Linked DNA regions of Coturnix japonica. The protein of the gene in region 1 purifies or fractionates together with the protein of each later gene. This does not show direct contact. Links are inferred from orthologs where the notes say so. Each region holds a gene or a part of one and is shown in the gene's direction. Other genes may lie near its edges. The genes, in order: WDR19 and IFT122.

Region 1 (3,821 bases):
GATACTTGCAGTACACGGATTGCTTACCTCACTTCTCTTCTTGAAGTTACTATAGTCAATCATGTGGAGAACGTATGATAACCTTTTCCTTTTAAACTTCATTTGGATAAAAAGATTACTAATGGATGGAAACTGATATTGTTTTTCTTACAGGAACTACCAGTTACTGTCTCTGTTGAAGTAGAGCCCAGTTTCATTGCTGTTGGTGTTTATCATTTGGCTGTAGGAATGAACAATCGAGCTTGGTTTTATTTGCTTGGAGAAAACAGTAAGCATTAATTTCATTCTCTTATTTTAAGCAGCCACCTCATTGCTTGTCTTTTTCAATGAATGTGCCATTATGTTAGCTGTGCTGGCCATTCTGCATTGTACAGTTTAATTGTTTATTTCTTCACTAATACTCTATTTTGTCTTTCATTCATTACTAAAAAGGAAAGGGGAAAAAAAAAAAAAAAAAAAAAAGCCAAATATCCCTATTAGTACAAAATAATGATTTTCCCCATCTGAAGAAGTTATGACAAGACAGTGTAATTAAATGAAATAAAACTTCAAGTTCCAGATGTTGGTAATGAAATGTTGAATGTTTCTTTCTCTCTGTAGATGTGAAAAAGCTTAAAGATGCAGAGTATCTGGGTACAGTAGCAAGCATGCATCTTAATTCTGATTACGCTGCTGCTCTCTTTGAGGGTAAAGTCCAGTTGCATATGGTAAGAGCTCTGTCAGTTTGGATTTCTGAATTAATAGATTTAAGCTGAACAAGTTTAAGAAAATTTTAAAATTATATGAAGTGGAATAATCTTTGGTTGATGGAGATAGAAATAAAGTCCTTTATTTTTTATGCTGGCTAATTAAAATATAAAACTGATTTTCTGGAAACTTTAGAAATAGAAGCTACTGTAGAACAAGTGAGAGAAAGTGTTTTCTTGTGAATTGTGTGACAGGAAAACTCATTTCTGGACAGTTTGATGCAGGCAAAACTTTGATATCAACGGTGTAGTTACAGTGTAGTCTTGAAGGTCATTTTTTTTCTTACGTTTAGATAGAAAGTGAAGGTTTGGATGCTCAGGAAGAAAGAGAAACTCGACTCTTCCCAGCGGATGATGATAAATACCGAATTTTGTGCCATGCTTTGACTGGTGACTTCCTCATATATGGTACAGATGTGAGTATTATCTCTGCTTTTAAGCATCTTTTAAAATTGAAGGTATTTCTGTTCACGTGATTTGAATTATTATCAATTTTTGCAGAAAAAAAAAATCCTTCTGAGAAATTTACTTCAGAATATTTTCTATGCAAAAGCAGTCAAAATTGCATTCAACTTCCCCTAACTGTTGCACTTATATGAGATGTTTTGGCAGGAATATTGTTTTACTAGGGTTTGGTTCAAAAGACTGCTCTTTTTACTAGCAGAATTTAATTCTGCTGTAGTAGTGACATGATTGGCAATCAAAGCATCTTCCAGATATAAGAAAAAAATTTTTGAAAATTTTTGGCTTATTTTGAAAATATATTTATTTAGGTGGTAACATGATAGATGTGGACCCAAAGATAATGAGGTAAGAAAGTATTACGGTGTAAATGTAGGTCTCAGCTTACTACTGAACCATAATGTGAACATGCTTGTGGACTTTTCAGGAGATTTTCCTCTGTATGAGGTTTGTTGTTGTTGTTTTAGTATTTTTTGCCATAGGGAATACAGGGCATGTTTGACATTGTATTGTGCTCTTCACTGGAATGAACTAGTACTGATAAATTTTAAATAGTAAATTCAGAACCAATCCATTGGGTGTGTAGATGTTTTACAATTGACTTCAAAAGCTTGTTTTACTTCTGGTGTTCTTGTTTGTGCAACACTAGTTGAGAAATAGTGTTTATCACCAGTAAGCTTGTTTGCTTTTCCCCCTGTATTAAATAAGCCTGAATTTGTCTTTCTTCTTGGGCGGCACATTATTCAGCATTGATTGAAGGCTACGTTTCTTTCAAGAAAGAAGCAGGCATTTCCCCTCACTTCAGAACTGCACTGTAATGTCTCCATAAAGCAAAGTGAGAACAAGAACACCCATTTTCCTCCCTCTTTCCTAAAACTGTTTCACAGTTATCTTCTGTGTGAGGGCAAGTGAAGTAGAAGGAACCAAAACAGGACTACGTAAATAGCACCACTTAGTTTCCATTCTTTTTCTGTGAATCATTTTCAGTTGATAATTTAGGTCTTAGCTGAAGATTCTACTTCCACAGTGGTTAACCATGCTCTTAAATGAGGACATCCAAAGTTTATTTGAATTAATTTCAATCTCTGTATTCCTAGTTTATTTCTGGGTATTTTTTTATTGTAAATTGTTAATGATACAACCAGTGCTAGTTAGAGAAATAAGAAATAATTAACAGCTGTTCTACATTCTTATTTTTTCACTGGAAAAGGCAGGAGGTGAGGTAGTGAGGTGGGTTTTTTCCTTTCAAATAAAAAAGGTCCTCCTCTTTCTTTTTTATCTCACTCCCACGAAGTTTTCCTATGCTGCCCAATAACATCTCTCAATGAGGAAAAAAGTCAAAAGAAAGCTGGAAATGCTGTTTTTCACGTGTTCTTACTCAGATCTCTAAGATGGGGAAAAAAAAACCAACAACCCACAATCAAATTCATGATCTACTTGCCATTTATTAGTGTCAATATTAGCTTTTTCCATTTTTTTCTTTTCTCATTAGACTGGAGTTATTCATTATTTCTACATCGAAGACTGGCAATATGTGAATGAATATCGTCATCCTGTCAGCGTGAGAAAAATTTTTCCAGATCCTAATGGAACCAGACTGGCTTTCATAGATGAAAAAAGTGATGGCTTTGTCTATTGCCCAGTAAGTTAGTATGGGATACTCATGCCGTTATATTTACAATCTAGGACTCCAACTATCTTGTAAAGCATGTTTTATCAATAGAAGTTTTGTTACTCAACACATGCTAGAAGAAGAAATTGCCAAAAGGGCTTAAATGGTAAAGAATAGTTATGTAAAGAAATGAAATGTGTCATAGTAGATCAGAGTAATTGAATTACATTAAATGCCTTTCAGAAATTAGATATTAGTGTATTCCAATACAATTTTAGCTAATGTTTAAGTGCTAACTTTCAGTTTCAGTACTGCCTGTCCCAATGCTCTTCTTCCAAGGAAAGTAAATATCATGCTTGTGACATGTATTTTCTGTGTTTACTTCCCTTCTGAATTAAACAATTACACTATTCAGAGTCACAGCTCATAAGAAAACTTTTGTAATAAGAATTTTGTATTTCTGCACCACTTCTATTCCTCTATTTTTAATCGTTATCTGAATGAAAATTTAGCTTGTATCATTAGTCTTGCTTCCTTGTAATTTTACTTCTGCATTGTTTCTAGGTGAATGATAGAATATATGAAATTCCAAATTTCTCACCAACCATTAAAGGAATCCTCTGGGAAAACTGGCCAATGGATAAAGGTGTTTTTGTTGCTTATGATGATGACAAAGCATACACTTATGTCTTTCATAAAGACGCCATTCAAGGTACTGTAAATGCTTTGAAAATCTCCACAATTGCTTCAGTTATTAAAGCAAAGCATATTCTGTTTTTAATTTGTATTAAATATTTCCACATCCGTGTATGAAAATGAACAGTACAGAGGTTCTGAAGGTAACTGTCTAATAAAAAAGTAAACGTTGTGTAGGTTTCTCTGCAGACTTCTAGCAAGAGACATTCTGATTTAACCCTTCAATCTTCTTGCTCTTATACTCTTCTGTCTTATAATTACGCATTACGCTTCAATTGTATTTTGAATGTTCAAGAGAAGCTCTT
Region 2 (3,821 bases), on another chromosome or scaffold:
AAGCAGTTTAAAATAGTATGCAGGCTTATGGAAAAAAAGTTCAAGCAAAATAGCTAAAGTCTAGAGACAGAATAACCAGCAGGAAAGAGGCTCTCCTAAGCTGCTGTTCAGAAGCATCACATTTCATGCAACTTTGCCATTCTCATAATTAAAATATTAGAGTAGTATTAAGAATACTCAGATAGAAATAAGACAGATATTTATAAAAAATGATTTGTTCATTCCTGTGTTGTCTTCTCAGAGAGCTGTCTTTCTTTCTTTGTCCTTGTTTTAGATAGCAGAGGGTTTTGGTTTCTATTAGGTACTGTTTACAACAGTATATATATAATTCTTCAATATATACAATATATATGTAACTCCTTGGAAGGTATCAGAGAGATGCTCTGGTCTTGTGCAAGTGTCTGAACGTCTGTATCCATCTGTTTAGCCAACTTGTGCAGTAGCAATGAAATGAAGTTAGAGGAAAGATGAGTATAGTTTTCTCATAGAGCTGTTCATCTTCTATGTTGTTGGCATTTGCAGAAGGTGTTATTACTCCTCTGCAGAACCTGAAGCAAGGTTTGTTGGAGTCATCCAGCTAACTGCAGTAGAGACAAGAAGAGAAAGCAGGTGTCTCCTGTCCCCATCACATGCAGTTTCAGTCTTCCAGATGTGGCTTTGAAAAGCCTGGTCTACTGCCAACATTCTCATTCCCCAAAATGCATCTATTAATTAGTACATGATACAAACACCACAAGCAGATGATAACTTTTTTGTTGTTTTTTCCACCTTTTTTTAATCCATGTATGTAATAAAAAGCTCTTGCTGTATTGCATGCTGTTGCCATAAATGCAGATTTAGATTGGTAAACAAACTAACTCTAAGGATTACTGGCTCCATTCCAGAACTCCCTTTAACAATGTATTTCAATATACCATGCCTATTTGATTATGCTGTACCATTCTGCCTTCCTGATGCTTGGTTTTAGTAGTTTTCTCTTCAGTACGTGTGTGTTTTATCAGTTGGACAAACGATGGCCAGTACCTTGCTTTGGGGATGTTCAACGGAGTCATCAGCATACGGAATAAAAATGGTGATGAGAAAGTTAAAATAGAGCGTACCGGGGCTGGCTCATCACCAATATGGTCCATCTGTTGGAATCCATCCAGGTAAATAATCATCCCAGCCTTTTCCACACTGACTGGTTAGTCCTTGGTTTATTGATAGCAGAAAGGCCTGACTTGCATCCCTGCTGGAGCAGGTTCACAGCAGGTGATGGGATGTTACCTTTTGTTGAGGTTACATGTTGGGGCTTTGTCAGCTGTTCATTACATGAAAGAAAATGGGAACAAATTCCACCTAGATATCATGAAACGTGGATTTGGATTTTTTTTATTGTTGGATTTCAGCTTTTTTGGGGGGAGAGGAGGGTGGGCTGTTTGCACTTACTGTGCCATATGTAAATAAACAATTGCTATTGCAGTCGATGGGAGACATTTTGGAGTAGAGCAGATGAAGAAGATTCAGATAACGGCCATTTAGAGAAGTCAGATAACAGCCAGTTAGAGGAGATACCAGAATTGAAACCCAAGCCTGGCAGTGGGCAGGATAATGAGGAAAAGGTAGAAGACAATGAGAAAGAAGAGGCTATGCATTTCAGCTTGTGAGTGAGACTACAATGGATAACATATATACATTTATGTACATATATATACATGCGTAACGTAGAAGAGCTATTTGCTAAAAGGACCAGAAGCAGAAGGTATTTATGCATGGTGCAAAACTCAAAAGTTACCAAATTCTGGATTAAGTGTCTTTTTTGTTTTAATTTATTCCACTAGTATGCATTAATGACGACATTTCTTAGGTAATAAATTTCTCTGGTTCACTGCACTTAACCAGTTTGAAGCCTTTCCTCAGCTTGCCCCAGTCCTGCAGGAGCCATTTCATCTCCTGCCATGTGCTCTGATAGTCACAGTCCAATCTTGCTTAGCAGTGTTGTCTTTGATGCCTCAGTGGCTCTGTACTCCTGTGTAGATCCCTAAGATCAGGATCTGTGCCTGCTGTACAGGTGCAGCTTCACTGTACCCACTGCTTACATGCTGAGCATCAAGTGCTGTGTCAAACTTTGCAGTTATTCCTGAAAAGTTGACAGATTTTAATTTTGTGTCCTCAAGCTGTTTTCTTCAGCTGAAATGTCAGGGCATCTCTGCTGTGCTTCCACTTTGTAGAGGTTTTTATGAGGAATTTGAAATATATTCTGCTATCTTACTGTTTGATTCTACTGCCCTGAGAAACGTATGGATAAACTGCCGTGACCATGCGCCTTTTTTGTTGTCAGAGATGAACGCAACGATACTTTAGCTGTGGCAGACTGGGGTCAGAGGCTTTCCTTTTATCAGCTCAGTGGCAAGCAGGTATGTTTTTGGGAAGTGCAGTCGGGAATAGCAGGGTATTTCTGCTTTGGTTCTGTGCCCTGTATTCAAAGTGTTCCTATAGTCATGCTTTGCTAGCTACATTAAATGTTTTTTATTTTCCAGTGCTTTTTATGACTCAGTATTTTTTAACCAAGTTTTCCTCTGGCTCATTTCCCCTGCAACAACTCAGCTGCTGTCTTCCAGTTCTTGTATTAAAGACCTTGTAGCTCTGATCCCTTTTGTGTTACAGCTGACTGATTCCTAGAGGACCTCTGCATTTCTTTCAGCCAGTTGGTTGTTGTTTGATTGCTCACACCCTGAGTGGGCTGATTTGAAAGTGGAGGGATTGATTTAGAGCTGCCTTTTGGAAGCTTGATGGATGTAGGGTATTAAAAAGTTGTGTGTGGCTGGAGAGCTGAGAATGTTCTCAGTGAGAGCAGGTCCCACCAAGAGGATCCTTGTGTTTATTTTCATCTGTTTTAGTGGCCTCAGAAAAGTATGAAATTTCCCTTCTGCTGATGTATTTATTTTTTCCCTTGTAGATTGGGAAGGACAGAATGCTCAATTTTGACCCTTGCTGTGTGAGCTATTTTACTAAGGGAGAGTACCTTTTACTGGGAGGTTCGGATAAACAAGTTTCTCTCTTCACAAAGGATGGTGTCCGTCTTGGAACCATAGGAGAGCAAAGCAGCTGGGTGTGGACTTGCAAAGCTAAACCAGACTCTAACTATGTGGTGAGTAGGTACATTTTACTGGCACTTTCACAGACAGTTTGCCATGAAAGCTAAGGCCATACATTTCAAACTCATTTGCCTAATCTGTATATCCCTACTGAGACAGCAGAACCTAAGCAGTGTTTAGCGAGCTCTAAAGCTGCCTCTAAAATTAAAACTTAAGACTGCAAGAAGTTGGTAAATGAGTGTAATGCCTGCTTTCAGGTTGTGAGGAATTAGCTGCATTTTGGTATAAAAAGAATTTTATTTATTAAAAAAATAAAAATAAATAGACTAACAGCACACAGCAGAGAACAGCTAATGACTTCCAGGTTGATGAAACTGAATTCCATGAGAGGAAGAAAGTTTTGAGTTCTGTTTCTGTATGAGCTTCTGGCATTATACTTTGTGGGAAATACCAACAGGGTATTTATTACTGTAAATGCTGCACTCTGTGCTGATACACAAATTTAAGAGATGCAGAGCAGATTTAAAAAAAAAAAAAGGGGGGGGGGGGAAGGGTGTGTGTGGGAGGTGGATACACTGGAAAGCACCACAAGAAAACAAAACCAAAGCAACACACAGCATATGTATAAGCTATGATAGCATCAGTCCTCACTTTGTACTGCAAAGTTGAACAGCACTTTTGCAGCTGTTTGAATACACATAACTGTAGTTGCTTTCAGTCTATATTTATATCTTATGCAGGAAA

The links.
Region 2: the proteins of WDR19 (region 1) and IFT122 purify together in Homo sapiens (affinity purification with mass spectrometry; 4 studies listed by BioGRID and IntAct, counting the BioPlex papers as one, with this or other methods). This does not show direct contact. The link is inferred for Coturnix japonica from reciprocal best matches to the Homo sapiens genes WDR19 and IFT122.

Annotation. Positions count from the first base shown.
Region 1 is NC_029519.1:62,638,019-62,641,839, reverse strand, and holds part of WDR19 (WD repeat-containing protein 19), read left to right. Parts: coding exon 1-72; intron 73-153; coding exon 154-268; intron 269-600; coding exon 601-707; intron 708-1,039; coding exon 1,040-1,162; intron 1,163-2,700; coding exon 2,701-2,850; intron 2,851-3,384; coding exon 3,385-3,532; intron 3,533-3,821. UniProt on the Homo sapiens protein: As component of the IFT complex A (IFT-A), a complex required for retrograde ciliary transport and entry into cilia of G protein-coupled receptors (GPCRs), it is involved in cilia function and/or assembly.
Region 2 is NC_029527.1:16,810,045-16,813,865, forward strand, and holds part of IFT122 (intraflagellar transport protein 122 homolog), read left to right. Parts: intron 1-1,001; 5' UTR 1,002-1,035; coding exon 1,036-1,148; intron 1,149-1,462; coding exon 1,463-1,642; intron 1,643-2,320; coding exon 2,321-2,396; intron 2,397-2,938; coding exon 2,939-3,130; intron 3,131-3,821. UniProt on the Homo sapiens protein: As a component of the IFT complex A (IFT-A), a complex required for retrograde ciliary transport and entry into cilia of G protein-coupled receptors (GPCRs), it is required in ciliogenesis and ciliary protein trafficking.